4 linked regions of the Xenopus tropicalis genome follow. Each later gene encodes a partner of the first gene's protein in a complex. Links are inferred from orthologs where the notes say so. Each region holds a gene or a part of one and is shown in the gene's direction. Other genes may lie near its edges. The genes, in order: pard3, pten, cdh5 and prkcz.

The links.
Region 2: the proteins of pard3 (region 1) and pten are in contact, whole or in part, in an NMR structure (PDB 2K20), measured with the Rattus norvegicus proteins. The link is inferred for Xenopus tropicalis from reciprocal best matches to the Homo sapiens genes PARD3 and PTEN. Residues at the interface, in NP_112514.1 of Rattus norvegicus: Ala599, Gly600, Leu601, Gly602, Val603, Ser604, Val605, Lys606, Gly607, Asn608, Arg609, Ser610, Lys611, His614, Lys622, Ile625, Met659, Leu662, Arg663, Met666; in NP_113794.1 of Rattus norvegicus: Asp393, Glu394, Asp395, Ser398, Gln399, Ile400, Thr401, Lys402, Val403.
Region 3: the proteins of pard3 (region 1) and cdh5 are in contact, whole or in part, in an NMR structure (PDB 2KOH), measured with the Mus musculus proteins. The link is inferred for Xenopus tropicalis from reciprocal best matches to the Homo sapiens genes PARD3 and CDH5. Residues at the interface, in NP_296369.2 of Mus musculus: Ala599, Gly600, Leu601, Gly602, Val603, Ser604, Val605, Lys606, Gly607, Arg609, Lys611, Lys622, Ile625, Asn655, Gln656, Met659, Arg663, Met666; in NP_033998.2 of Mus musculus: Tyr774, Gly775, Asp777, Gln779, Glu780, Glu781, Leu782, Ile783, Ile784.
Region 4: pard3 (region 1) and prkcz share a complex: the UniProt entries of both Homo sapiens proteins name them as parts of the par polarity complex. The link is inferred for Xenopus tropicalis from reciprocal best matches to the Homo sapiens genes PARD3 and PRKCZ.

What each region holds. Positions count from the first base shown.
Region 1 is NC_030682.2:21,707,497-21,715,013, forward strand, and holds the start of pard3 (partitioning defective 3 homolog), read left to right. Parts: upstream 1-2,979; 5' UTR 2,980-3,168; coding exon 3,169-3,288; intron 3,289-7,517. UniProt on the Homo sapiens protein: Adapter protein involved in asymmetrical cell division and cell polarization processes. Seems to play a central role in the formation of epithelial tight junctions. Targets the phosphatase PTEN to cell junctions.
Region 2 is NC_030683.2:12,941,419-12,948,502, reverse strand, and holds part of pten (phosphatidylinositol 3,4,5-trisphosphate 3-phosphatase and dual-specificity protein phosphatase PTEN), read left to right. Parts: intron 1-3,218; coding exon 3,219-3,382; intron 3,383-6,243; coding exon 6,244-6,471; intron 6,472-7,084. UniProt on the Homo sapiens protein: Dual-specificity protein phosphatase, dephosphorylating tyrosine-, serine- and threonine-phosphorylated proteins.
Region 3 is NC_030680.2:57,816,881-57,824,703, forward strand, and holds the start of cdh5 (cadherin-5), read left to right. Parts: upstream 1-3,655; 5' UTR 3,656-3,801; intron 3,802-7,823. UniProt on the Homo sapiens protein: Cadherins are calcium-dependent cell adhesion proteins. They preferentially interact with themselves in a homophilic manner in connecting cells; cadherins may thus contribute to the sorting of heterogeneous cell types.
Region 4 is NC_030683.2:91,510,157-91,517,842, reverse strand, and holds the start of prkcz (protein kinase C zeta type), read left to right. Parts: upstream 1-2,941; 5' UTR 2,942-3,301; intron 3,302-7,686. UniProt on the Homo sapiens protein: Calcium- and diacylglycerol-independent serine/threonine-protein kinase that functions in phosphatidylinositol 3-kinase (PI3K) pathway and mitogen-activated protein (MAP) kinase cascade, and is involved in NF-kappa-B activation, mitogenic signaling, cell proliferation, cell polarity, inflammatory response and maintenance of long-term potentiation (LTP).

The sequences.
Region 1 (7,517 bases):
TGGAGCTGCAGAGTGCCATTGAGCCATATGGGAGACTTTCCTTGGGCCGGGTTGGAGCTGCAGAGTGCCATTGAGCCCTATGGGAGACTTTCCTTGGGCCAGGTTGGAGCTGCAGAGTGCCATTGAGCCCTATGGGAGACTTTCCTTGGGCCGGGTTGGAGCTGCAGAGTGCCATTGAGCCCTATGGGAGACTTTCCTTGGGCCAGGTTGGAGCTGCAGAGTGCCATTGTGTCCTATGGGAGGCTTCTAAAATCATGCACTGAAGGATCAAAGTCGGAAAGGTTTTCACGCTGTTTACGATCGTTCGGACACGAAAATTTTGTAGCTTTTGGATCATACCACAATATTTTCGTACGACCATGATATGGAATCTTCGCAAAATTAACGCACATCGGAAGTTTTCGTTATTAATACAAATTTTTGCCAATTGTACTTAAAAAGATCTAAAATTCGGACTTTGATATGTATGCAGTGCTAAGGGCATTTTCATGCACAGTGCGTTACCTTCACACAACTAACACTCAAGGGTGCGTTCACTTAGCTGGATGCAGTGGTACAAAGTGCAATTTTAAACGCAATCAAGTTTTTCCCCACAATGCACCACTTTCCCCTAGAATTTTGGAATCATTGCAGAAGCAAATTCTCTGTGCCCGATTGAGGCAGATCACGGAAATAGATGGGTGGGACTTGTAGGGTTTTTGAATGAAATTTTCAATAAATCAGCCTACAACATAAGTTTTTTTAAGCACATTCCTTTTACATTTAACAAAGTTTAACACACTGGTACATTTGTGTTTGTTTTAACACAATACGTCCCCTTTCATAAGTCCTAGAGAAAAACCAAACTCTTTTACAGACCAGAAAGGGATAAGCAAACACTGCTTTTAGCTTAAAGGAACAGTAACACTAAAAAATGAAAGAGCTTTAAAGTAATAAAAATATAACGCACTGTTGCCCTGCACTGGTAAAACTGGTGTGTTTGCTACAGTAACACTACTATAATTTATATAATAAGCTGCTGTGTAGCCACGGGGGCAGCCATTCAAGCTGGAAAAAAGGCACAGGTTACATAGCAGATAACAGATAAGTTCTGTCAAATACAATAGTGTTTTATTTGTTATCTGCTATGTGCCTGTGCCTTTTCTCCTTTGAATGGCTGCCTCCATGGCTACACAGCAGCTTATTTATATAAATTATAGTAGACTTTCTGAAGTAAACACACAACTTTTACCAGTGCAGGGCAGCAGCACATTATATTTTAGTTACTTTTATACACTTCCATTTTTTTGGTGTTACTGTTCCTTTAAAGCCACTGAAAATATATTGGAAAATTGCTGAGACTTGCATTAACTTTCATTGTGCTTTTTTTTCTTGTTTTACCTCTCTCCAGCCTGAAAGTCAGTTCACATGAAGGGTGTACCAATCAGCTGGCTTCTGCTCCATTGGTCAGGAGTCCGACTCAGCAGCTGATAGGCATTCAGTAGCAATTACATCAGCAAGTAGCTTTAACATAATGTCACTGTTTAATACATTCTGTATTGCTTGCATTCTTATACATGTAGCCCACTTTATAAACAGTTGTGGCACTACCTGCTGATATGTCACTATACTTGGCGCTTCCAGGAGTCCTGAGCCCCGCTTACTTTGGGGAACAGCTATTACTTTGTACTTTGGCGTGCCTCCACCCAGGATAGGGATAGACTGAACTATAACTCCCCTCCTGAGACTTAATATACTGCTCCTTTGTGGGGACTCCCAGCACTCCTGGCACCTTGCCCCCTCCCTGGGGTAGTTGCTTACCAGGCAGGTGGATCCTCCAGGAGAGATACACACACACTGATGTAATGCTGAACAAAGTGTTGTGTTTATTGGCAGAGTGGTAGACAGCTTTGGCATACAGGATACACAGGATATGTCAGGATACTTTCTCTTTCCCTCAGGAGTCCCTCTCTCCTGGGATACCGGTAACACTCCAGCCAAATGACCCTCCCTTTGGGGTTCCCTCCGGTACTTCTCGCCAGAAGCCCCTCTCTAGGGCACTTCCCGGTACTCCCGCCAAGCGGACACCCCTTGGAGACCTCACTCCGGAAATATCACCCGGCTATCCCCCAGATTAGGCAAACTCCTATTCCTCACTCTTGTATCCCTGACTCCAGCTATCAATGCTGGGAGATCTTAATCTCATCTGCCTCCTGGTGGGGCCAAGCTGCCCAGCTAAATAATCCTGTCTACCACTCCTAGAATGGTCTATGACACACATCTAACTCACTAGACCCAGCCTGTCACTATCCTCTAGCCAGAGGGGTCCCAGGCATAAGACCTGCAGGCACATGGCTGCACAGCCTTATATACTGTGTGCACCCTGTGGCCTAACTACTGAACTGCAGGGAAGCTAAATCCCAGTTAACCCTTATAGTGCCAAACCACCCAAGGTGTCCCACTACTAAAGTGTTACCCTCCCTGGGGTCTATCCTGGGGCAACCATCCTAGGGGACCCAAATTTTGGGGAACCCTACATACATCAGAGAATTAAAAGTGTAACATTACCCCAGGTAGCCTCAACTAATTTCTTCAGCCTGTGAAGAGATAAGAAAACATAACAAACGGCAGTAAATGAACAATAAGTTTAGGCTACAGGCTGAACTATAGGCTATATTTGGTTAGGTAGCTGCTTGGCCGCCAGTTCGCAGACTCCGAGCCGCATTACAAAGTATGAGGCATCCTTATGAGCAATACTATAAAAGCGCGGACTCCCGAAGTCACATCTGTAGCACACAATAACTAGCCCCCGCACTGCTCCTTTCAATACTAAACTCAGTCCTGCAGCCCTATAGAACTGACCAATCACAAATAGATTTAAAATGTTGTGTCCGGACACAACACTTTGTTCGTACATGCGATAGGTTTAGCCGGCTGTCTGTCAGCAGCGGGAGCGCTCGGATTGGTGAAAGCACGTTGGCTCTCACCTGGGGTTGGGTGTGTTGGCGGCGGTCAGACAAGCTTGCCGGAGAAGTGTGGGAGGAGCCTGGCATTCACATGCAGTGTAGAGGGAGGAGGCGGTAGCAGGCCCTGCATACACCGGAGGGCACGGAGTGGAACACGGGAACCCTGGATTAATTGCGTTGGGCTGGGGCGCGGGAAGACCCCGGGGTGGGTTTTTGGCGCAGGATGAAGGTGACGGTGAGCTTTGGGAGGACGCGGGTCGTGGTGCCCTGCGGGGACGGCAACCTGAAAGTTTCCAGCCTCATCCAGCAAGCGGTGACCAGGTACAAGAAGGCCATCGCTAAGGTAGGTGGAACCGTGGGAAATCTATTAGGGAGCCCTGTCTCTGCAAGCAGGGGAGCTCGGCCAGCAGAACACTATTAGTTCTATATATTGCGGTGATACCGCCTATACACAACAACTGCTTGGGAGCCTGAAGTTCTGCATTGCTTAATGGGACTCCCCCCTTCAAGGACACATAATGGGGTATTCCTTTTACTGGAGCAGCCCATTATTTGTCCTTCAATGGGGGTGTCCCCCAGAACTGTGGGCAACTTCAGACACCCAACCAGTTGTTGCAGTAGAAATCCCACAACTGCCTTTAAACATGAGCAAGGGTGGGCTGGGTGTTTATTGGTACATGTGTGCCTATGGGCACCGCTCTGTAACTCCTTGGTACATGTGTGCCTATGGGCACCGCTCTGTAACTCCTTGGTACATGTGTGCCTATGGGCACCGCTCTGTAACTCCTTGCCCCTTCGTACATGTGTGCCTATGGGCACCGCTCTGTAACTCCTTGGTACATGTGTGCCTATGGGCACCGCTCTGTAACTCCTTGGTACATGTGTGCCTATGGGCACCGCTCTGTAACTCCTTGGTACATGTGTGCCTATGGGCACCGCTCTGTAACTCCTTGGTACATGTGTGCCTATGGGCACCGCTCTGTAACCCCTTGGTACATGTGTGCCTATGGGCACCGCTCTGTAACCCCTTGGTACATGTGTGCCTATGGGCACCGCTCTGTAACTCCTTGCCCCTTCGTACATGTGTGCCTATGGGCACCGCTCTGTAACTCCTTGGTACATGTGTGCCTATGGGCACCGCTCTGTAACTCCTTGGTACATGTGTGCCTATGGGCACCGCTCTGTAACTCCTTGCCCCTTGGTACATGTGTGCCTATGGGCACCGCTCTGTAACTCCTTGGTACATGTGTGCCTATGGGCACCGCTCTGTAACTCCTTGGTACATGTGTGCCTATGGGCACCGCTCTGTAACTCCTTGGTACATGTGTGCCTATGGGCACCGCTCTGTAACTCCTTGGTACATGTGTGCCTATGGGCACCGCTCTGTAACTCCTTGCCCCTTGGTACATGTGTGCCTATGGGCACCGCTCTGTAACTCCTTGGTACATGTGTGCCTATGGACACCGCTCTGTAACTCCTTGGTACATGTGTGCCTATGGGCACCGCTCTGTAACTCCTTGGTACATGTGTGCCTATGGGCACCGCTCTGTAACTCCTTGCCCCTTGGTACATGTGTGCCTATGGGCACCGCTCTGTAACTCCTTGCCCCTTGGTACATGTGTGCCTATGGGCACCGCTCTGTAACTCCTTGGTACATGTGTGCCTATGGGCACCGCTCTGTAACTCCTTGGTACATGTGTGCCTATGGGCACCGCTCTGTAACTCCTTGCCCCTTGTTACATGTGTGCCTATGGACACCGCTCTGTAACTCCTTGGTACATGTGTGCCTATGGGCACCGCTCTGTAACTCCTTGGTACATGTGTGCCTATGGGCACCGCTCTGTAACTCCTTGCCCCTTGGTACATGTGTGTCTATGGGCACTGCTCTGTAACTCCTTGGTACATGTGTGCCTATGGGCACCGCTCTGTAACTCCTTGCCCCTTGGTACATGTGTGTCTATGGGCACTGCTCTGTAACTCCTTGGTACATGTGTGCCTATGGGCACCGCTCTGTATCTCCTTGCCCCTTGGTACATGTGTGCCTATGGGCACCGCTCTGTAACTCCTTGCCCCTTGGTACATGTGTGCCTATGGGCACCGCTCTGTAACTCCTTGCCCCTTGGTACATGTGTGCCTATGGGCACCGCTCTGTAACTCCTTGCCCCTTGGTACATGCGTGCCTATGGGCACCGCTCTGTAACTCCCTGCCCCTTGGTACATGTGTGCCTATGGGCACCGCTCTGTAACTCCCTGCCCCTTGGTACATGTGTGCCTATGGGCACCGCTATGTAACTCCTTGCTCCTTGGTACATGTGTGCCTATGGGCATCGCTCTAACTCCTTGCCCCTTGGTACATGCGTGCCTATGGGCACCGCTCTGTAACTCCTTGCCCCTTGGTACATGTGTGTCTATGGGCACCGCTCTGTAACTCCTTGCCTTTTGTTACATGTGTGCCTATGGGCACCGCTCTGTAACTCCTTGCCTTTTGTTACATGTGTGCCTACGGGCACCGCTCTGTAACTCTTTGCCCCTTGTTACATGCGTGCCTATGGGCACCGCTCTGTAACTCTTTGCCCCTTGGTACATGCGTGCCTATGGGCACCGCTCTGTAACTCCTTGCCTTTTGTTACATGCGTGCCTATGGGCACCGCTCTGTAACTCTTTGCCCCTTGTTACATGCGTGCCTATGGGCACTGCTCTGTAACTCCTTGCCCCTATTTTCCTGTATACATGTCTGGGCTCCATAGTTTTCCCATTTGTGTGAATTTCATATAAACGTCCAGCCTATTGTAATGTGTGTGGGGTTTCTATTTGCCAAGCTTTCATGGAACTAAATCCCTGTTTATTACAATTATCAGCATGCAGTTGGCACTTTGGGAAGTTAACATGCTCACATTTCACATTATAGGGTGTACTTGTGGCAGATGCACTCTAGTTCTCTTTGGTACTCCAGTACTCATTTTATTGGCTGGCAACTTGCCGGCAAAAACCTAAGCGGAGGGCAAGCACTGTCAAAGCGTTCTTGTGTATGTGGCTTCATTATAATTATGGTCAGGATGTTTCTAATGGGTGAGGCCTGGCTGTGGGCATGTGTGGCATGGTGAAAAAAAAGGCAAAGTAGCTCTAAAGTTGTGGGATGAGATTGTAGTCACTTGGCAAGCTAGAAGAATGAGCCCACTGATTTAAACTATGTTCCTATCATACTGAATATTGGTCACGGGACTGGACAACTTCTTGTTTTGTTTATGTTTGGCCGAGTTGGAATGCTGCTGGTCAGAAAGAAGTCATTTCGGCTTAGCTGGCAGAGAGGCAGAATTGTCTGTTGAGCCTTGAAAACTTCTGTTGTGGAGGGAAAATAAAGTAGACCGATTGTGGCGCAGCGTGATTGCTTCCAAATTCGTAACAAGCTGGAACAAACAGAACCCAGGATTCTGTCTGGGGATCTGGATGAAGCCAGAGATTCCTGGTGATATTCGGCCAATTGAACCTAAACCAAATATTTCCTGTCATTTCACTGCAGAGGAAGCTGGGGGTCACAGAGTTATCACTCACAGGAGCTGGACCATTGGCTGCCTGTCTCATCTGAGGTCTGATTTTGTTCAGTATTTGTATGTATGTATAACTTTATTTATAAAGCGATACAAGGATAAGCAGCGCTGTACAATATATACAATTACACACAGGGAGGACAAGTGTCATAATAAATACAACAAAAAAGTATAAATAGAGAGACATTAAATGCCCTGTGGTATGAGACACAGTTGGAAGGTGGTCCTTGCCCTGTAGAGCTTACAATCTAAGTTCTTGATCTAAAAAAATCTTTCTCAGTCCTTTGTGTGGATACCCTCTTAATGCAACTCTTGTTATATACAGTTTCTGTTTGTAACCACTTGAATGCAGTATATAGGATAAGCCAAGCTATGACACATGCAGGGTTTTGATTGCCGTTAAAAGGATCAATACACTCATTTTCTCCCCTGATCTTCCTGCAGGGACTGAAACATCATACCCACTTCTACAGATAAAGATGCATTGGGGCTGCTTTGTGTAGTGTAACCCTTGGAACATCATAAAGAATACACTTGAATTTGGGTTGTTCATGTTTTAAAATAGTTTATTAAATAATTCGCTGTATCAGTGGCCTTACTTCTATGCACTAATGTCACGTGCATGTAAAGGTAAACAACAACTACATATGTGATTGTGCTTGCGAAGGAATTTTTGTATGTTTATGGATTCTGTCCTCTAAATTATGTCAAGTACATAACAAGTATCCACATGCTTTGCCATTAGTGCCGGACAGAATTAAGAGATTCCAATATCTGTTTTCTTATGTGCCTGATTATCAGCAAGCAGCGAATAACCCTGTGCATAAAAATCTGATTGACTTTTTTGTGTGCAAATAATTGACCGTAGGTGATTTTGTGGCATTGACTTTATTTTACACAACATAAAATAGTTAACTTTCTCTTATTCTCTATAAATGAGAATTCTGTGCACTAGGTTGGGCAATATCAATGAATGGGTGGGCAGGCAGGCTTGAGTCTTCCTTAGGGCAGTGGCACGTGGCAT
Region 2 (7,084 bases), on another chromosome or scaffold:
AGGATTGTGTAGCCAGAGAAGCAGGTGGGTGAGATTTTCCTGTCCCGCTTGTAAACAAGGACAGTTATTCTTTCTATTTGGTAACTAGGCAATAAAACCTGATCCATTCAGCCGGGTGTCAAGGGCCCTTTAATTATGTAAATATCAATTATTTTCCCCGGGCATCTGATCCCTTTGCATCTGGTAACCCCCCCTTTATAGTAAAAACAGTTTTTATTTTCTGCCAAGATGCAAGCCATGCACATATATATATATATCTACAGTATCTCCAATGCGGTAGTAGAATTCAAACAGGACTTTGTTCCTACATAAATGAGAAAAAAATCCCCTCCCCCAACAAAAGCTGACAGTCTCTCTAGTCTAAGGCCACATTTATGCCTGCGCCGTTTAAAGTAAACTTTTAATATGTTATAAAATGTTCTGTTTCTAGAAACTTGGTCTGTATTATTTTTTCTACTTTTTTAAATTATTTGCCTTCCTCTCTTCTACATCTATTGAACTTTCAAATGGCAGTCAGTGACCCCGGCAGCTAGAATGCTATTGGTCTGTGATCTTACAATGTTGTTTTAACTTTGTTTCTTATCTTTCTATCAAAGCCCCGTCATTATTCATATTCTTAGCTGGTTGCTAAGATAAGCTAGACCCTAGCAACCAACTAGCTGAACGTCGGCAGCTCTATAAAAGTAATGAGCCTGATCCAACCCCTGTCATAGTAGTCGGTACTGTGGCACCTGTTATCCAGAATGCTCGGGACCTGGGTTTTACGGATAAGGGATCTTTCTGTAATTTGAATCTCCATACCTTATGTCTGGTAAAAATAATTTAAACATGAAATAAACCCAATAGGGCTGTTCTGCCCCAATAAGGGGTAATTATATCTTAGTTGGGATCAAGTACAGGTACTGTTTTATTATTACAGAGAAAAGGGAATCATTTAACCATGAAATAAACCCAATAGGGCTGTTCTGCCCCCAATAAGGGGTAATTATATCTTAGTTGGGATCAAGTACAGGTACTGTTTTATTATTACAGAGAAAAGGGAATCATTTAACCATTAAATAAACCCAATAGGGCTGTTCTGCCCCAATAAGGGGTAATTATATCTTAGTTGGGATCAAGTACAGATACTGTTTTATTATTACAGAGAAAAGGGAATCATTTAACCATTAAATAAACCCAGCAGGGCTGTTCTGCCCCAATAAGGGGTAATTATATCTTAGTTGGGATCAAGTACAGATACTGTTTTATTATTACAGAGAAAAGGGAATCATTTAACCATTAAATAAACCCAATAGGGCTGTTCTGCCCCCAATAAGGGGTAATTATATCTTAGTTGGGATCACGTACAGGTACTGTTTTATTATTACAGAGAAAAGGGAATCATTTAACCATTAAATAAACCCAATAGGGCTGTTCTGCCCCAATAAGGGGTAATTATATCTTAGTTGGGATCAAGTACAGGTACTGTTTTATTATTACAGAGAAAAGGGAATCATTTAACCATGAAATAAACCCAATAGGGCTGTTCTGCCCCCAATAAGGGGTAATTATATCTTAGTTGGGATCAAGTACAGGTACTGTTTTATTATTACAGAGAAAAGGGAATCATTTAACCATGAAATAAACCCAATAGGGCTGTTCTGCCCCCAATAAGGGGTAATTATATCTTGGGATCAAGTACAGGTACTGTTTTATTACAGAGAAAAAGGAAATAATTTTCAGTAATTAGAATGATTTGCTTATAATAGGCCATCTCCCATAGACTTTCTGTAATTTAGAACTTTCTAGATAATGGGATTCCAGAGAATGGACTAGTTTGTTTACTGCCCTATATTGCAAATGTGAATTCAGCATTGTATGGTGAATTTACATTGTGTGTATACTATACATTGTTAGTGAGGTAAATGGCGGCAGCCCAGGGCATCGGCAGAAAAGAAGATGGGAAGCTACTGGGGGCATCAATATTGCTAATGGGCTGTTGTGGCCTAAGGCTAGTACACAAATTCCTTTAATAATGGACAACTAAAGCCTAACAAAGAACAGGCTAGAAATGCAAAACATTGATCACCATGGGCCAAAGAAGCCGGGCTTGTATAGCAGAGTTTCATTCCAGTAACTACAACCCCCCCCTCCCCAATAGTCCTAGTTAATAGGGCATTGCCAAAATATGTATATGTCATTTTCTTTATAAACTATAACATGGGAAAATGCTTGCAAGACCTCTAAGAATAGAGGCTGGGGCCCTACTCCAAGGGATGATTATAAGCAAATAAACCACATCTTTTAAATCAGCGTTTTTCAACCGCTGTTCCGAGATGTTGCCTGGTGTGCCGTAGGCAGGGCCGCAATTTTTACTTTAAAAAAAATCCGAGCCCTGTCATTGGTTGCGCCCCGTGTGTATGGGTGACGTCAGTACGCACGGGGCGCAACGTTATAAAAGGGCCTGTGTGCGGTCGCGTGTAGGCAGAAGTGCAGAGGCGGCGCGCGTGAGGGGAAGATGCTGCTGAAGCCGCCGAAGAGTAAAATGCTGCTGGGCACCAATGTATTAAGGGGGGCCACGGGGCACACTGACTTATGGGGGCACTGCTGCTGGGCACCAATGTACTAGGGGGGCTGGCTCTTGGCACCAATGTACTAGGGGGGCACTGCTGCTGGGCACCAATGTACTAGAGGGGCACTGCTCTTGGCACCAATGTACTAGGGGGGCACTGCTGCTGGGCACCAATGTAACAGGGGGGCACTGCTCTTGGCACCAATGTACTAGGGGGGCACTGCTGCTGGGCACCAGTGTACTAGGGGGGCACTGCTGCTGGGCACAGAGTTAAATTTTTTAACATTTTCTAATGGTGGTGTGCCTCGTGATTTTTTTCATGAAACAAGTGTGCCTTTCCCCAAAAAAGGTTGAAAAACACTGGTTTAAATGATACAATGGTGCAGACATCAGATCTCTGATGTGACATTAAGGAAGACACACAGAGTTACTAGTAGCAGCTACTTGTCACGGCTACTAAATGCCAGAAAATCCCCTGCCATAGACAATACTGAGAATTGCCTCTGCTAAAACACACGTAGAGACAATTATCAGTAAATGATCAGCATTGTCTGTATCTGTAGCTGCTACTAGTATCTGTGTGTCTTCACCCTAGAACAACAGGCTTTTCTTTCTCAATAACCTGCTTTCCTTCAGACCAACTAACAACCTCTCTGTATTCTCCTAGATCCCCAGTTTGTCGTTTACCAGCTGAAAGTCAAGATCTTCACCTCAACAGCAGGTCCCAAGCGCATCGAGAAGTTGATGTATTTTGATTTCCCCCAGCCTTTGCCCGTTTGCGGGGATATCAAGGTAGAATTTTTCCACAAACAGAACAAAGTGATGAAAAAGGTTAGTGTGGCTTATTTTTTTTCTAAGCAATGTTATAAATATGTTCACACACGGTTACACAACAACTGCACAAGTGTCCATTTAGGGTGAAGAGACACGGAGCTACTAGTAGCAGCTACTTGTCGTGGCTACTAAAATAGACAATGCTGATTATTTACTGATAATTGTCTCTACGTGTGTTTTAGCAGGGTCAGTTCTCGGTATTGTCTATGGCAGGGGATTTTCTGGAGTTTAGTAGCCATGAAAAAGTAGCTGCTACTAGTAGCTCAGTGTGTCTTCACCCTTACGGCGTTGGATTTCTTGCCCCTGAAGACTCTGGCAGCTTTGGGTACGGTGCCCTGGCACAAACGTGGTGCACACACACTCATAAAGAGAATGTCTGGTCCATTTATTCCGACTAATATTCCTGTTTAATCTGTATGGCGATGTGAACGTTTGCATCTGGGACGTTATTTGCATCACGTGTAGCTGTAATTAACTATAAATGACCGGCTCTTATCAGCCATACCTCTGCTCTGTCACTTGAATTAAATATTTACACACAAGCTACTTGCAAGTACACCCTGTGAAACAGAGCCACACACTAGTTTAAGGCTGAACCCTGACCTGTGGGAACGAACGCCAGCTTCATCTCTCCTTGCCTTCCCATTGGTGGCTCATGCGTGAAGGCACTGTGGAATATTGTAGGTTTTTTTTTTATCGTTTGAGGAAGAAAGGAATCATAAAAAATAAAGCAAACTGTTCTTCCTTTGCAACAAAGTAGCCTTTATCTGACAGCATTGATTATCAGTTGATCATTTACACTTGTGGCACTGTAGACTAAACATTGGGGCTGTGGGGCATGTACTTTAATCACAGCTACTTGTGATAGCAAGTCACACACGGGGCCGACTCTCAGGCTGCAGCGGGGGCTGTTTCTCTTCCTGCATTTAAGCACAGCCACTAGCCAATGTCTTTATACCCCCCAGTCACAGGGCATTTTTTATCTTTTCTAATAAGTAGTCCTCTGTTCTTGCCATTGGTTTCCTTGGGAACCACTGTTAGTCAATCTGCTGTGTGCTACAGCGCCCTAAATGTTGACCGCACTATTTATGCTTTTGTATAACTGATGGAATTTATTTACACAGGCAAGTAGGCCCTTGTTTATCTTACACGGAAATAAGGTTTGGATTGGAATAAGACGTTTTGCTTTTGTAAACTTGTCAAAAAAGGCAAATAATGCAACATGTGGGAGTTCTGAAAATCTCCTGTTCAGAAAAACACACACATATATAATATAGTTAAGTTGGGTTGAAAAAAGACCAAAGTCCAACAAGTTCAACCCTTCCAAATGAACCCCAGTGCACATATAGACAGTCTTACCAACCTATCTATTCAACTCACATTAACTATATATACCATTCTCTATACCAGCTGTAGATTATACAACCGAAATAGCCTTTTCATTGTTTGTTTATTTCATTGCTTGTTTAAGAAATCGCCCAAAGCCACACTAAAGCTAATGTCCTACAGAGTGATTTAGTCATCTGCTACCACTGGTGACTAAAATGCCTTTCCAATCGCCAGTGGAAAGGCTTATACATTGCGGAGATCTATCTCAGGCAACTAAGGCTAATGCACCACTGGGAGATCAGTCGCCCACCATCAATCTCTGGTACCTTGGGCAACTAATCTCCCAAAAAGCATTTTCACTGGCGCAGTGTTTCCTTCTGCAGGCAACTTCGAGGTTTAGGCCTTTTCCATTTATTGCTGGTGGGAGAGCTTTTCGGGGAGATTAGTCGCCCACAGTAGTAGAGATTTATCATGGGCGATTAATATCCCCTAATCTAAAGGCATTAATTGGCAGAGCAGACATCTTATCAGTGCTCTTTGGCCTATGGCACATGGGGCATTTTATCCCCCACTGCCCACAGACAGAGGCGCAGACAAAATGCCCCTCTCCACCTGTCATTAATCCAAATACTACAGGATAAAAACGTAAAGCAGTGACATGCAGAGAGGGCCATCTGTTTCAGCTCTGTGTGCATTGAATAGGGCACATTCAGTAGTAGTCTCCGTAATGACAGATGTGGGGGGGGGGGTTGTTTGTCCTCCGCTGTTCATCAACTGGGGGCAGTGGTTGACAAAATGCCTGATGTGCAGTTGGCTGACTAAAACATCTCTTTGGCTTTTTGTTTGATATCGGCAATGGACTCTGTTGGTTACAAAGTGTTAAAGTACTTGTGCGTTCCACCAGTGGTCAGTCAGACCTCGTGACAGCTATCCAGTGTTTACTTTAGAGCCTGTAATGTTTGTAGTTCATAGAAACCAGTTCCATTGTATCAATGGAAATAGCCATTCTGTAGTGCTGGAGAGGGTCTAATTTGCAAGGGGTCAAATGCCATTCGTGACTCCCCACACACCTACAAGAGGCAAATATTCCTTATAAATGACCGTTACTTGGATGACTCGTGTCCTCTACACACACAAGCCATACCTTTACCAACATGGCCACTCCTGGCCCAGTCCACAGCCATACCTTTACCAACATGGCCACTCCTGGCCCAGTCCCCAGCCATACCTTTACTAACATGGCCACTCCTGGCCCAGTCCCCAGCCATACCTTTACTAACATGGCCACTCCTGGCCCAGTCTACAGCCATACCTTTGCTAACATGGCCACTCCTGGCCCAGTCCCCAGCCATACCTTTACTAACATGGCCACTCCTGGCCCAGTCCACAGCCATGGCTTTACCAACATGGCCGCTCCTGGCCCAGTCCACACAGCTCCTTTTGAATACTTTTTCATTTTTACGAAGCCATTGAAGGTTATTTCCTGCAGCACTGTTTACTAAAAAAAAAATTGTGTTTTTTGTTTTCAGGAAAAGATGTTCCATTTTTGGATAAACACATTCTTCATACCAGGACCGGAAGAGTATTCAGAAAAAGTAGAAAATGGAACGTTAGTCGGGGAGCAGGAGCTTGATGGCATATACAGTACAGAACGTTCAGATAATGACAAGGAATATCTCACCCTCACTTTAACTAAAAACGACCTAGATAAAGCTAACAAAGACAAAGCCAACAGATTATTCTCTCCAAACTTCAAAGTAAGTACCCAAAGCCTTGTTTGATGGAACGCACAAATGTACTGTACCCTGCAGCCAAATGGCTGGCATCTGACATACCCTCCGAGGGGCGCTTCAGCTGGCATTTACTGAGCTACATGCTCGGCAGGAATCCTCACTGCCAGCTGACTGAACTGCAATACATAGCATTGCGACCAATCACAGTGAGGCTCCCCTGGTTGCAGCAATTGCACAGAGAGTTCTCCATTACCTGCCTACAGTAGCTGTGATTAGTAGTGATGTGCAGAGTGAGAAAGTCGCCCCTAACCTGCCCACTTCCTACCCGACCCAGCTTCTGCCCTGTATTTATAGGCCCGCGTCCATCCCACCCTGCAATGATGTCACAAAACTGAAGGCAAAGGCTGGTAGTGTTAGGTCGTGGGCAAGCTTCAGTACATTGCTATTACAGGTATGGGATCCATTATCCAGAAACCTGTTATCCAGAAGGCTCGAAATTACAGAGAGGCTATCTTCTATAGACTCTCTTTTTTGATAAAATAATTAAAATTTTTTTTAGAAATTTCCTTTTTCTCTAATTATAAAATAGTACCTTGTACCTTATTGGAGGCAAAACAGTCCTATGGGGTTTATTTAA
Region 3 (7,823 bases), on another chromosome or scaffold:
GCACTGGGTTACTGATGTAGTTTTCACCCCGATGGTCTTGTATTGTGAGCCAATTGTTTGGCCCAAGGTGGGCATTACGGTAAAAGATCCATGCAAATCGCCAAACAAGCAGATCCTTACATGTATGGCCACCTTAATTTTTTTTTCTCTTACATTCTGCTACTGCTACGTTGTGGTCACTGCTACAAGTACAGTAACAGTGAGATGTGTAACTGTTTGCTGTGTCTAGTTACCCATAGCAACCAGATATTTGTTTTAAACAATTAACCAGATGATCTGCTACTATGTGTTACTAGACCAGGTCCAAACGTTGTACCTTCTATTACTTTTTATTAGCCCTATGGTGTCTAAACCAAGTCCTTTTGCACACTCAGTCTCCAACTACAAGCTACAGGTGAGATGAAATGAGTTAGAAATATCATTACTGGATCATGATTAGGACTTGTTTCTAATACAAATGTATAGCTTGGTGCATTTATGAGAGTATTGGTCTTTCAGAAGGTAACCTAAATGTGCTCTTTATATTGCTTGATAAATATGCCACCTATTTTCCCATAAAAATGATGGGCTTGTATGCAGGCAGATAAAGTGTTCAGCTCAGCTTAGCACCTGCTGATAAAACAAACCTAAGGGAGGAACAAGGGTGTTTTTGTGCACTCGCACTGAACATCCAAATCCACATTATTAAAGTTCATAAATTGGCATAAACCAGTGGGGTATTCAGCTGCCATCTGAACCATCTGCATCCTAGGGCATAAACTGGGAGTTATGAGAAAATTATAGACACAGTTTTATACACTGTAAAATCCACTTTCATTCTTCATTTACCATAAATAGTCTTTGTAATAATGAACTAAGGATTTAGCTGAAGAATTACAAGTGGCAGTGACAGAGGTTTTCTGAGGATATAATCCATTATGTTTACTGTCAAGTCCCTCCTGCTGGATCTAAATGTACAAAGGCAGAGAGGAAAGAAGTGTCCTGTCTGCCTCAAACTGTGACCTACCTGATTTGGGTCAGCTCATGTGGAGGCTATTGCCAGTGGGGTACATCAAGCTAAGTCATTAAGATGTATCTGGGACAGCACAAACCTGCACGGCTGTAATAACTAACCTACAAAGCAAAGGTACTTACTAGCCTGCTAACATCTGTGCTATTTATACTATTTTTAGGGAGGAAGGCACATCTCTATATATTCATATAAATACATAAACATTATTGCACATATGGTGTTCTGAGAATCATTAAGCTTCTGGTAAACATGAAATTATCATTCCACAAAGCAGCCATTTAGACTGGCAGGCAAATGCTATACACTGCTTTATGTTTGATAGGTCTCAAAATTTGTTTTTAAGTCATGGCTTTCTCAGTTAAAAAGCAGCAGTATAATGTCATGTCTAACCCTAACCAGCCATGTTTCTGTCTTGAACCAGGGGTTGAAGCAGCAGCTACAGCCCAACTCAATATACTCCCAAAGACTGATTTACCTATGTACCAAAGTAGTTGTAGCTGCCTTGCTTGTATCCATAGCAAAACTGCATATAGCTTCCCCTAAAATTAGATGCTACATATAAACTTTTTAGCCCTCTGGAAACTTTCCTGTACAGAACACTTACTAATATTTGCAAAGCACATTTTTATTATTTTTCATTTTTATCTCACAAAACTAATTTGCTTTTATGCAAACATTTTTGTGGGCTTGTACTCTGTTGGCAACTTTAGAAGAAACTGTTAGTAGAACTAGCATTATTGCAGATGTTGGCTTTTATACATATATATATATACATACAGCAAAAGAAGGATTTGCGCACACAGGACTTATGAACACAAAAGGGATATATTTGGCACAAAGAAGACAAATGCCAAAGGGTAGCAAAAGCTATATTTACTTTTAAATGCATACATTGTAAATCATACTTCCCAAAATCTGTTTTAACAATTCACAAAATGAACATGTTTTCTAAATAATCCCACAGCCTGGGTGGATCAGTAAGTAGACTCAAAAATCACTCAGAGCAATACTCTACAGAAAATAGATTAAATCCTGCCAACTATCTAAAAACACTGTGGCCAAGGGGCCACATGTAATCCTTTGGGATTATAGATAAACAGAATATAGAGAAAGATAATATTTACACCATCATTATCAAAAAATCCCCCAAAAAATGTTTCTACTCCAATGGTGTGCATTTGCTCTTAAATCCATGCAAACAATTGCTCATACTCCTAAGTAGACCTGTACTAACAACTATTTTGGTCCATACTACAGGACCATATGTATACAGTATTGTTAGGGTTCCTGACCGCAGACTGTAAGTGTAGGGACATAAGGGAGCCCTCCTGCCAGGACAAAGACGTAATTACGGGAACAAGAAGGACACAACCACAATGGAAGTTCAAACTTGTTCAGTTTATTCTTACGTGCTCATAACTTTTATACCTTTGGTGTATGTGCAGATACAAAGGAATTTATTATAAAAAATAGAATAGGATCTCATTAGCTTCAAGGCTGCCATTCAAGGATGGCAGGTGCAGGACAGGAATTTAAGGAGGACAAAAAGATGCATCAGCGCACAGATAAGATTATGTTGTTTTTCAAACCGTATATTTCGCAAGGTGCAAGCCATGCAAGGGTACTATTTGGGAAAAACAACTATTATGGGATGTTCAAGCCTGCTGTTTGCAGTTACAAAATGGAGATACATTTCTAAAATGGAACCTGATATGCTAAGCATCAAAGTGTATCAAAGTTACCAAAGTACACGCATATATGAATATATGATTATATCGATAAGAGAAAATAAGATATCATATCAAACCTCACAAGTATGCTTGAAGAAACAATGTTCTTAAATAATTGTATCAAAAGTTCTGTACTGCCAGTTGTCCACGTAAGAGGTTAAGACCTGATGGTCATTTTAGTTATCCCATTTGATTGCTGATGTAATTGATTTCATAGGGTATGTTGTGTGACATCAGGGCAGATTCAGTTTAAAGAGGAAAATGTATCTCATTGTTTTTAATGTGAGAAATCATTAAAAAATCTATTGGTCTATTCAGGGTTTGAATTAGGGTTTTCCTACTGAAATTGAATATTTTTTATAATGTTTTATGCAATGTGTTTTTGCATGAGCAAAGTGTAAACTATAGGGGTCATTTATGAAAATCCCAGACAGAAGTACAAGAGCACTAAGGGGTATGTCCCTTAGTATTTTAGCAGAAAACACTGCCATCCAGGGTCTGGCTGCCCTGGCTGCAGAACACAGCTTTGGTAGGAGCAGGCCAGTCACGTTCTTTCTGCTGCCATAGGACAGGAGATAAGTCCCGATTTGTTCCACGTTGCTCCTTGCCTTCCACATAGTAAATTACCCTTTATACATTTAATTATTTTCTGTTCACTGGTGCCAAATTTCTTATATGACCCACCATTCAATACTCCAAAAATAATATGGCTGCCACAAAGGTTCTCCAGAATCTCCAAAGTGTTTCAATAGACAGGCAACAAAAGCAAACTTTAAAACTCTATTTGGCGTTCTAGTCTGCACAAGTTTATCTAGCTTCCTCCACTCACTACAAAAGTTTCAAGCAACAGCAATGTGTAGAACAATAAGAGGAAGGAAGTCTGTAGGGTGGGAGCTGTACTAATTCCAGAATTGGACATTCTGTTGTTAAACTCCTGCATTTATCCAACACCAGCCTGGTAATCCGTGTGTGATTTGGTATCCTGTGGATTATTACAGATTTTTTAAGTATTTGAAGTTTTACATTTTGTCAGCAAGGTCTCTCACAACTTTGACTTAGGTAAGTGAATTTCATCTTTCTTGTGGAATTTAACTAGAAGAGAACCAGTAAAGGTGTATTATGTTTTTAGAGCATTATAGAAAAAGGAAAGAATGAGTTTGTTGGGTATGTGGCAGAAACATATATTGAGTTTATGACAGACCTCTAGGTATACAAGGTTTACTTTTTTATCAGTCAAAATCTGATCTGACATAACAAGAACATATTCAAAACCTGTGCAAACCCAGTGCACTCATCATCATCATCATCTTCTTAATAATGCAACCAAACACAACTCAGTTAGATTTTTACCTAGTTCTTCTCATGAGTAGAAAGCTAGAATAGTCTAATATTTCAAGGTAAATGAGAATATTTTATATATGTCCCTTTATTAAAGTTTTACAAAATCCCAATCTTAACTATTAAATTCTACAAACAGCTATTACACATAGGTTAGTCAGGGCCTTATATACTGTACATCCTGCCTTTGTTTCAGTGGAAGAATAAGGCACAGGATGCTCTCAACACAGAAAATTCACTGGTGGGGGCTACCATTTCTATGGTGGATGCAGGTGCATTGTGGGCAAGTTACATTTAAAAACCTAATAAATCAAAACTACAATGGCCAGTTTGGGGTTTTAAAAACAATAAATGTTGTATTCTGAGAGATGTTTGTCCTAAAGTTTTTATTATGTAAAATGCATTCTGTCATTTGGCACGATCATTTCCACTGATGGCACAGTTTTGTTGATGCTTTCAAGTGAAGGTAAACCCTACTTGACAGTGTGACTAGTACATTTTATTCATTTATCACATATAGCAATGTTAATTAGCTTCTGATGAAACTGGCCCTGGTGATTTTAGATTGAAAGCCCCTATTGCAGCAGGAACTTATGTATGGTGATCTATCAAATGTTGCAGAATGTGTCAGTCATGTAAACAAAGGATAATTATAATAATACAAATAAATTACAATTTCTGTTTCCATTCCCTTTTACCACTTTTCCTCTCACTTCCAACCCCTCACAAAGCCTCTCTGATTTTCTTGAAAAGGTGAAACCATTAGGGATTCACACTTGTGACTATACAAACATAATGATGTGTCTGTCTAAGAATAAATATCACTTCAAGAGATTTGAGCTGGTCCTGTGGGGCCATTGTGGGAGCTAGTGACCTGGGCAACGATAAACCTTTGGCAAGTGTCAAAAACATATTTACTTGCTTATGAACTAGAATGCCCACAATGGTACCTAGAAGCATTGGGCAATTAAGAGAGTTCGGGCTCTTGGTTGTTCATACTGACCCATGCAGTTAACCCTACAAACGTCTACTAATGTCAGAAGGCACTACTATAGGCTAATAAATAATAAGCACTAGGTAAGGAAAAGTACTAGTGTTACACAGCACAGAAATCTAATAATAGCTGCCTGTATATAGTGTGCATACAACCCCAGCAAATAATAGGTAATGGAGGTTATGGCCCCAGGAGGGCCCCCTAAAAGCTTTTAATGAAATGCCCCACTGCACAGAACAGTCTACACACGGTACACCTGAAAGGTACATACATTGCATCCCACTTAAGCTTATGTGACATGGGAATATAAGATCTTCTACTTGTATCCAACAAGAAATAGATTGCCTTGTTTCCTCTAAGTGAATAACAGGCTACTGACCTTTCACAAAACACATGAATCTTGTGCTAACATGATTACATAAGGCCTTACAGATGAAGAGTGTGCCACACTGCTCTATGAGCCACATAAGGCTACTCCAGTTAATACGAGTTATATAGTAACATAGTAACATAGTAAGTTGGGTTGAAAAAAGACATACGTCCATCAAGTTCAACCATAATGCCTATATATAACCTGCCTAACTACTAGTTGATCCAGAGGAAGGCAAAAAACCCCATCTGAAGCCTCTCTAATTTGCCGCAGAGGGGAAAAAATTCCTTCCTGACTCCAAGATGGCAATCGGACCAGTCCCTGGATCAACTTGTACTGAGAGCTATCTCCCATAACCCTGTATTCCCTCACTTGCTATCCATCCAGCCCCTTCTTAAAGCTATATAATGTATTCGGGGAGGGAATTCCACAACTTCACAGCTCTCACTGTAAAAAATCCTTTCTGAATATTTAAATGGAACCTCCCTTCTTCTAAACGGAGTGGGTGCCCTCGTGTCCGTTGGAAGGACCTACTGGTAAATAAAGCATTAGAAAGGTTATTATATGATCCCCTTATATATTTATACATAGTTATCATGTCACCTCTTAAGCGCCTCTTCTCCAGTGTAAACAGACCCAACCTGGCCAGTCTTTCTTCATAACTGAGACTTTCCATACCCTTTACCAACTTAGTTGCCCTTCTATGGACCCTCTCTAACTCAATCATGTCCCGTTTGAGCACTGTGGGATCTCACCTTATCTAGCACTTGTGATTCTATGGGATCTATGGAACTGGGCTGATTGCAGTGGTGTTGGTAAAGGCACAATAAATGAGTGGAAATTGTAACACACACATAGGGTTTCTAGGATTTTGAAGACTTTTTTTAAGGCAAATTAGGAAATCTCCAGTGGCAAAGGTGACAATAAGATGAGCAAAATACAGTCAAGCCTATAAGAAAAGCAGCATGTGACCCTTTTACCATAAGTTGCTCAGATCTGTCTCGTGGTACGTCCAACATATTGACTGCCCTCGGTATTGGATAATTATTGGATAACCATTATGGATGGACCCCTTGATCATCATTATCATCATATTTGTTTATACAGTGGCAGCAAGTTACACAGCAGTTTACATTAATTTATAAGTGTTACACAATAAAAATAGTATCAGAGGGCCCTGCTTACTAAAGTTAACTTTTTAACAATAGCTTCTATGGATTTGTTTGGGCAGTCTTTATCAACAGTCGCATGTAAAGTTACCATCCACAGAAGATCAATATTGTAACTGCCATTGTTGTTGGCTTAAAATTGGTTAACCACTAGTGCTCCCTAACTTGTATATCTGAATAAAGTGTAAGTTAAGGGGCACTAACGACAGGCCTGCCCGACCGACATCTGGCCTGAAATCAGGCAGATCTCGATTGGATAGGTTTGATTTTTAGTCGGATAGGGGACTGCATCAGCTTGTTCTAATTCGATCCGTTGTTCTAATTCGATCGTTTGGCCCCAAGGACAAACAACAGAATTGGCCCAATAAACCCACCCGTAGGTGGGGATATCAGGAGAAGATCTGCTTGCTTGGCAACTTCGCCACGTGAGCGGCCACCTTTAGGGGTAGGGTAGGGGATGGCCAAGACAACTAACTGCCTCCCTCCTGCCCATCCCTGTTGATTACAGGCAGTAATGTATTCATGAGCTATGCATGCACTGTATTGTGGAATGGAAAGCCCTGTGGAAATTCAGACATTGGAGGGAAGAGCAAGGGGGCTTTTGTCTTTGTGATGCTGTCCAGATGGAAATTATGTTTTTATCAGAAGCCAAATTGTTATTTTTAGTAACAGGGGCACCAAAAAGTTGCATCTATGTGTGTTTTCTTTTCCAGATTCATATTTACAATGTAATTCAGAATTCAGATTTAATTACAAGTACAGTAAGAGGGTGGGTTTTTTCGTTTTGTTTTTTTTGTTAGTGATTGCATTACTTGGTTCGGTTATAAGATGATTCTTTTCAAGCTCCAGTTAAAATGACTCAATTTCTTTGCAATGTGAATATAATAGATTCAGAGTGGAGTGGTAAAGGTTTCAATGACGACAATATCTCTGGAATTTCCTCATTGTGTATAGAGAATGCTGCACGGTGCAAAAAATATGCTCAGTATACAACAAAAGAGCAGGAACTCTGTGGAAGCGCCATCATATCCTGTTTTTCTTCAAAAGGAAAGCAGGAAACTAAACTGTAGTTAACAAGAACTGGTGCTCTCGCCACTATCTATGCTGGTAAATGCTCAAAATCCCAATGTAGATATGTCATAACCATCTAACACATCTCATGCATATCTGTTAGTCGCATCTCCCTAAAATAGCCGTCTGTTAAAAATGG
Region 4 (7,686 bases), on another chromosome or scaffold:
TTAATTGCTGGATTTGGTTGCTGGATTTTTTTTATAGAAGCTGCTTTTCATAACAATAATTTTAACCTTCCACATTACAGCTCCTAGGCTCTGTCATATAAATTAAATAATTTTTTATTAGATTGAAGGTAGTGACGCGAGAATAGGAATGACAAGGAAAGGATGAAAGAAATACAAAAGCACAGAGAAGTTTGTATAAGAATTATAACACCTACATAATGCTCATTGAAGGACACAAGCAGAAGGAATAATTTTTGTGAAAAACCAGACAAAAATAGCAGAAAACCAGAAATTGTGTATCTCTTTTGAATTGTCTTGAAAACCAGTGCAATAAACACAGAGATAAGAAAGATTGACTAATGTCAAGTAAGTCAACTGTACTTTGAACACATTCTTTATATGAAATGGCATAATTCCCAGAATAATAAAACAATGATACATTACCTAAATATTTTTCCAATGTCAATAAAAAGTAAACTATGTTTTTATTGATTATATAAATAATTTGATGGACTATTGAGACTGTGCATCTGAATAGAAACTCATGTGGAAACAACTCTTGTAAAGAATAACCTTGGCAACATGATTTTTATTTATATTTCTCTCAGTTTTTCTGCAGCACCAGTTGTGTGCTTTTAATGGATACACCTTTGATCCATCTATTAAACTTAATTATTAATTGGTTATTGACTCTCATGCAACCATGACATCAAGGACTAGATTCTTTCCCATTGGAATCCTCACCTCTGGGTCCCAATATGGGAGAAGCCTTTTTTCAGAACTCCCATTGTGTCTCCTTGGGTAAAGCTGTGTGCCTTTTTGCCATAAGGCCCTAGAAGTAGATTGGATGGGTACAATGATAGAAAAGTGTCTGCTGTAAAAACACCCCTTTGGGACCTCACATTATATTCTGTGAGACTACTGGTAATTCAATTATTTTCAAATAATGAATAACGGTGAAAAGGGCAACTTTGGGTAAAACCAATCCGAGACAGGTACCTACAATTATGCTATGCTGCTATGTGCTAAACAGGCTAGGAGAAAAAGGTTCCCTAAACACAGGGGTCCCCAACCTTTCTTACTCGTGAGCCACAGTCAAATGTAAAAAGACTTGGAGAGCAACACAAGCATCATAAAAGTTCATGGAGGTGCCAAATAAGGGCTAATATTGGCTATTAGATAGCTTCTATGCACACTGTCAGCTTACAGGGGGCTTTATTTGGGAGTAAATCTTGTTTTTATTCAACCAAAACTTGCCACCAAGTCAGGAATTCAAAAATAACTACCTGGTTTGGGGGCACTGAGAGCAACATCCAAGGGGTTGGTGAGCAACATGTTGCTCACAAGCCACTGGTTGGGGATCACTGCCTAAACCTATACAAATGATCCACCATATTTTACTGTTGATACCCTGACATTCTGCAAGCAAAACATACCCAACATCAGGCAAAGTATGCAGTTATTGTGACCAATACACCAGGCTTTCACTCCTTGCATTACCCTCTGCATTAGTATCTCATCTATTGGCTTTGTAACTGGGCCACCTTGCCCATGTGGTGATGTCCCGGAGGGGAACTCGCGCTGACAAACACTGGAGGGGGGGGGGGGGGATGAGAGGCCTATCGGCCCCTACCATTGTGCAATAGGCAGGTGCCCCTACTTCGAGCCCTGCTTTATAGTGTGCCACAAAACTCACCTGAGCTTATGTACTAAACACTGGACAAATATTTATGTAGGCAGTAACACATAGCAATGCATCAGTGATTAGCTCTATCCAATAAAAATAATGTTTCCTCGGAGTGGTCACTAACCTGTTTCACCAAATTTTAATGTAGATGCGTAGATGACAAATCAATGCCACACAGGTAACTTGAAGAGTTATAAGACATATGGAAGCATATTTACTAAAGTGTAAATTTTCTTTAACTCTACCAAACTCAACCTCAATCCGGCATTTTTTCAAAACATTGCATATTAACTTGAATTTGAAAATGTTATTTGAATTTAGCACATTCAGAATAAATACCAGGCACAAGCACTTTCCTTCTCTATGGATTACTGGTTTTTTCCTGAACAATGTTATGCACTTTATTAATATTAATAATAAGGCTACTGCACTCTACACTATAACACCTTTAGAGCACTTACTTCCTCACAGATACTTTTCCATGTGAATCATACAGGAAAGATATACTAAGAACTGCCATTTACTATATCGAACGCTATAAGTTTTAGCATCATAATAGGCAATTAGGCATGGAAAGAACAGAATACCACAGAGACAAGTTTGGCCCTTTGTTAGGAGTCTAACCTCCAATATTTTGGTTATAGTTGGAACCATTTTATAATGTTGTTAATACTAGTGAGCAGCTGTTAAAACCTTTACACGCACACTTATCACGACGTTTAAGAAACGAAATTGAGTTTCGCAGAGCAACCTGCCAGCCAAGAGCATCTCAGTGACTATTTACAGCGTTTCCGTTCTTTTATTGTATAATTACTAATGGTCATGCATATTTTCACACTAGCGCTCCTTTTTGTACACGCCCAGGTAATGTTTTATTACAACAGGTGAATTCCACAATCAGCAATGCACTGTGACTCAACAATAAACGCGCACATTCCTTCAGAATAGTGACAGCTCCCTACAATCCATCCTGTTACTCAGTTACAGGTTTATAGCCTTGCTTCCCTTTCCCAGTGTATGACTGGCTGCAGGTGTAATCTCCTTTGTCCCTATTGGTTAATCCCTTGAGTCCTGCGGCAGGTAATTAACATTCGTCTTGCATTGGACAGCTAACCTTTGGCCGGCCTGTGTAATTGGACACTGTATTTTCAATACGAGCACGCGATTTGCTGGAGAGCTATCGGAGAGCTCTGCTATTGGCTGCCACTAACACCCAGTTTACTCCGCCATGTTTCGAGAGTCCGAAGTGCTTCGCAAGGAGAGACTCTTGAGTTTTAGCCGGGGAGTTGTTTGCCAGCGGCGCTGACAGGCAACTGTTTGGTAGCGCCAGGAATTTGGCAACTAAAGAGGCGGGTCAGTGTGCGCAGGTGTGAGGGGATGCTTGGAGTTGTTGCACTGTGACAGGGTTAGACGAGCTGGTACTTATTAACCCTCTCGTATCCGCTGTCCAGTGACGCCTCCTGTATCTCCTCCCTCTCGGCTCCGTAATGTTCGTCCTCCGATTCCGTGTTACACCGGGGGGTGGGGATATCGGCTGGAGTTACGGCCGGGAGTAGCTGATCGGGCTCAGTGGAGAAGCCGAGCTAAAAGGAAGTGTGTGTATCAGTATTGCAGGTAAGGGACAGGCTGACTCAGGTATTTTCTTTCTATACGTGTGTGTATCAAGTGTCCGGTGTCCTAGCTTCCTAGCTCCCATCATCATCATCATCATCATTATTTCTTTACTGTTTCTTTAAATAGAGATCACCTGGCTTCCTGTAGGGAGCTAAAATGACAGCACTGGTTGGGAGCTGCAGTTCAGCTTTTCCATCACCTGCTGAAGTTACCTAGTGATTGTTGAATTCCTGTAGAGGCCGGATTAGAGCTGCTGTAAAGCACTTTAGTACCAGTAACACTGCAATGATTGTGCCCCAGAGTGGTGACAACAGTTGTGAAGGGGAAGTTCTCATACTCACAATGAATATTTATTTCCCATATAATACAAGCTTTTTGTGACCAAGTTTCATGCTGAAAGCAATTCACCTCTGGGAAAGCTCATTCTGTGTTTATTATGGAGGCTGAAGAAGTTCACAGTAAAAGAGTAATGCAACAGATATTGTTGTCCTATGTCACTGTGAATGCTGTGTAACTGGTTAGGGTACTGATTAATAACTAGCTACTGATTGCTTAGTTACTCACATAGAGTGCCTCTATTTCCTTCCGCATCACACATTAGACAATTGGCAGGTTGCCTTTTACATTCTGAATGTGGTATAACAGTGTTTTTCAACCTTTTTTGGGCAAAGGCACACTTGTTTCATGAAAAAAATCACAAGGCACACCACCATTAGAAAATGTTAAAAAATTTAACTCTGTGCCCAGCAGCAGTGCCCCCCTAGTACATTGGTGCCCAGCAGCAGTGCCCCCTAGTACATTGGTGCCAAGAGCAGTGCCCCCCTAGTACATTGGTGCCCAGCAGCAGTGCCCCCCTAGTACATTGGTGCCAAGAGCAGTGCCCCCCTAGTACATTGGTACTACGGCACACCAGGAAACATCTCGCGGCACACTAGTGTGCCGCGGAACAGTGGTTGAAAAACGCTGTGGTATAAAAATGTATTTAATATAAACAGTTTAAGGTGATTTGCAAATTATGCAGAGACTGTTTTTATTCTAACAATATGTAAGTTGTTTGTTATTAAATATTAGATTATATTATTAATAATTATTTGGCTCTGGGTGTATGATTAAGGAAGATTTATACATGTATGCTTCACATATGATGTTATCCAAGCTCTTTTACATCTATGGATGGTTTAATGAGCCCTGTATGTTTTTAAAGTAAAGGTGGCCATACATGGACCGATTCTAGCTGCTGATATTGGTCCTTTAGACCGGCCTGTGTGTGGGCACAAATGACGGGTCTGCCTGACCAACATCTTGCATGAAATCGTCCAGATCTCATTCAGGCAGGTTTGATTTTTCAGTTGGATTGGGGACTGCATCAGCTTGTTAATCCGGTCCCCAAACCAACTGCGCATATACCCGCCAATCTAATTCGAATTAGCCCGATATCGCCCACCTGTAGGTAGGGATATCGGGAGAAGATCCGCTCAATTGGCAACCTCGCTAATCCGATCTGAATAATTATTTGCATATGAAAATTAGGCCATGCAGGGGCTAAAGAGAACTGTATTTGGTGAAAAATTTTCAACTTCTATGTTTGTGACAAAAAGTCACGTGATTTTAAGGATACAGATTAGGTTTGGCCAGACACGTGGATTTGGCTGGATCCAATTCCTGTTGAGGAAGTAGTGGGGGACACAGCCAAACGATTGCTCTGCGAGGAACGAAGGAGTTGGCCGGGAACGTACGGAGACACAAGGGAAGAGATGTAGTGAGGAGCAGAGGAATGGAGGGCTTTGAAGGTTAAGAGAAGGAGTTTGTAAGATATTATTTGTTTAATAGGAAGCCACAATAAGGGCTTTAGCAGGGGGAGGGCCTGAACTCTCCTGGATGAGAGGAGGTGAACTCTGGCAGCAGTATTTAATATAGACTGTAGGGGGCAGAGATTGGAGTTAGGGAGGCCGGTTAGTAGCTGTAGCTTTTTTGCTCCTTCCCAGCTTTCAAATGGAGGTAGAGACTCTAGCAGCCAAAATCCCCTTTGCTCTGTGGGGCCCACTCCTGTTTGTCTCTCAGTCTTTCTATTGCCTTATGGTTGCTAGCTTTCAATTTACTTTAGCAACACTACAGAAACATGTTGCTGCTTAAATTCTGAAGTGCTGCTAAACAAAAGCTAAATTAAAAAAAAAAGAAAAGCAATTGCAGATTGTAGTAGCCTACTGCTGTCTAACAGGCAGAACTAGAAGGTATAATTTAAGACCAATTAAAAAGTTGCTAAGAATAGGCTAATCTATAACCTACTAATTAAAAAATGATCTACTACTTTGAGTCTTATATACTAACATAGGAGCTAATTTGCCAAGAGCAGTCAATCAGGAATTAGATCTGATAAGTCTATTACAAGTTAAGCTAGTCGTTCATGTTTATACACAAGTTTTCAGCCCATGTATGGGGCCCCTGGAAGATCCTGCTTTGAAAATCCTGTTGGATGAGGATTGCATTTGAACACTGATGTGCTCCTCTTCCATCAGGTAAAGTCATGCAGCGGGGAGGGTACCTGCGGAATATGTTGGGATGGGGACGGAACATACCTGATGTCCCCAATGTGTGGATGGCCCACAACTACCCTATTAGCTGCACTGAGGTGGGCTACAGGGGACCATTTAAGTTGTGGGTTGGGTGGAATTGCATGTGGGAAAGAAAGCAGGTGTGGGTTGGGCTTAGGGTAAGCAGATATGGGTTGGGTGCTGGGACTGATGCAAATTCTTAATTTCCTGAGGAATTTACCACATAATGGTCCACCTGTAGACCTTCAGTTCTCTGTATGGTGACCGTGCTTTGCAAATGAACTTGGTCTGTAAATAATCTCCTATTTGCTAGTGTCTCCCATAAACACATGTGAGAGCAGACTTCAACCCTGAAGCACTTGCATCTAGCTTCCCTTGGTATCTTCTAGTAAACCGTAAATGTAGTAGGTGCAATGTGCTACATACCTTGGTCACAGTTTACAACTTGAGCATAGAATTGCTATAGCTCTGTGTCCAGGATATAAAATGGACCCACATAATAAAAGCCCCTTTTCAAAGTAAATTTTAAACCCCATTTTCTTATTGAAACATCTTTACTGGTACAGGTATGGGACCTGGGCTTTTCCGAATAAGGGATCTTTCCGTAATTTAGATCACCATAACTTCAGTCTGCTAAAAATCATTTAAATATTGAATAAACCCCATAGGCTGGTATTGACTCCAATAAGGATTTATTATATCTTAGTTGGGATCAAGTAGAAGGTTCTGTTTTATTATTACAGAGAAAAAGGAAATTATTTCTAAAAAATTTGAATTTTTTTCTTATAATGGAGTCTATGGGAGATGGTCTTTCCATAATTTGGAACTTTCTGGATAACGGGTTTCCGGATAATGGATCCCATACCTGTACCTGTTACAAATGTATTTAAAAATCCGTCTTTCAATCTTTTGTTGCCTTCCCTGCCTCTATGCCTCAGGTATAGCAATCACTTTCTATTTTACAGTTGCTAAATGTCACTGCACTCTTGACATTCCACTTCTCTGCTAACATCTATAATTGTGAAGCCTGTGACTTGACATGGACATCAGGTCTCCTATTCGGGGGCATACACAAGATTTTGGGATGATGCAAAGCTTGTTTTACTGACAATGTCCATAAAATGGCGCCTTCCTGCTTGCTGTGAATCCAGTGAATTCCAAGACTGAAGGGAAAATGTTTAAATAATTTATATGGTATAAGTAAAGTTAATTTTGCTTGACCACCAGCATAGTGAAACTTTTAGAATGATTTTTTAGGGTTAACAGTCCCATTGAACCTACTGATTTTTCTTCTTGATAAGCTGAAGGTTCCCTAAATGACTTATTGTGGCAGATATAGGTAGAACACCAGTAGTTTAGCATTGCAGTAAAGGTATGCTTTGAGCAATATAAGTTTTGCTTGACTCTATAAAAGGGAAATAACCTTTGTGCGGGCTGTTATGGTGTCCCTTTTTTCTAGTACATTTCTGCCGGAAGTCATTGAGATATTATTGATTTAGCAGATTTTGGGACATATTTTGTATTTCCGGAACTAAAAGGTACTTTTGTCTTTCTGGATTGGCTTTGTCAGTTTTTACAATGAGGGAACCCTGAAATATTTAAGGCCATAGGGACCCTTTACATGCATTGTCTCCATCTCTCTGTTAATATACAGTTTGTCTGATGGACACACTGGAATTGTGAGTATCTATCAAACCAGCTTCTTATACATGGAGATAATTCTCAGCACTATACTCTGCACTTTGGCTTATTGATTATCTGCTGCAGTGTTGTAGCTTACTGGAAACCTTTACCAGCACCATCAGATACATGTGTCCATTTGTTTTCTATTCT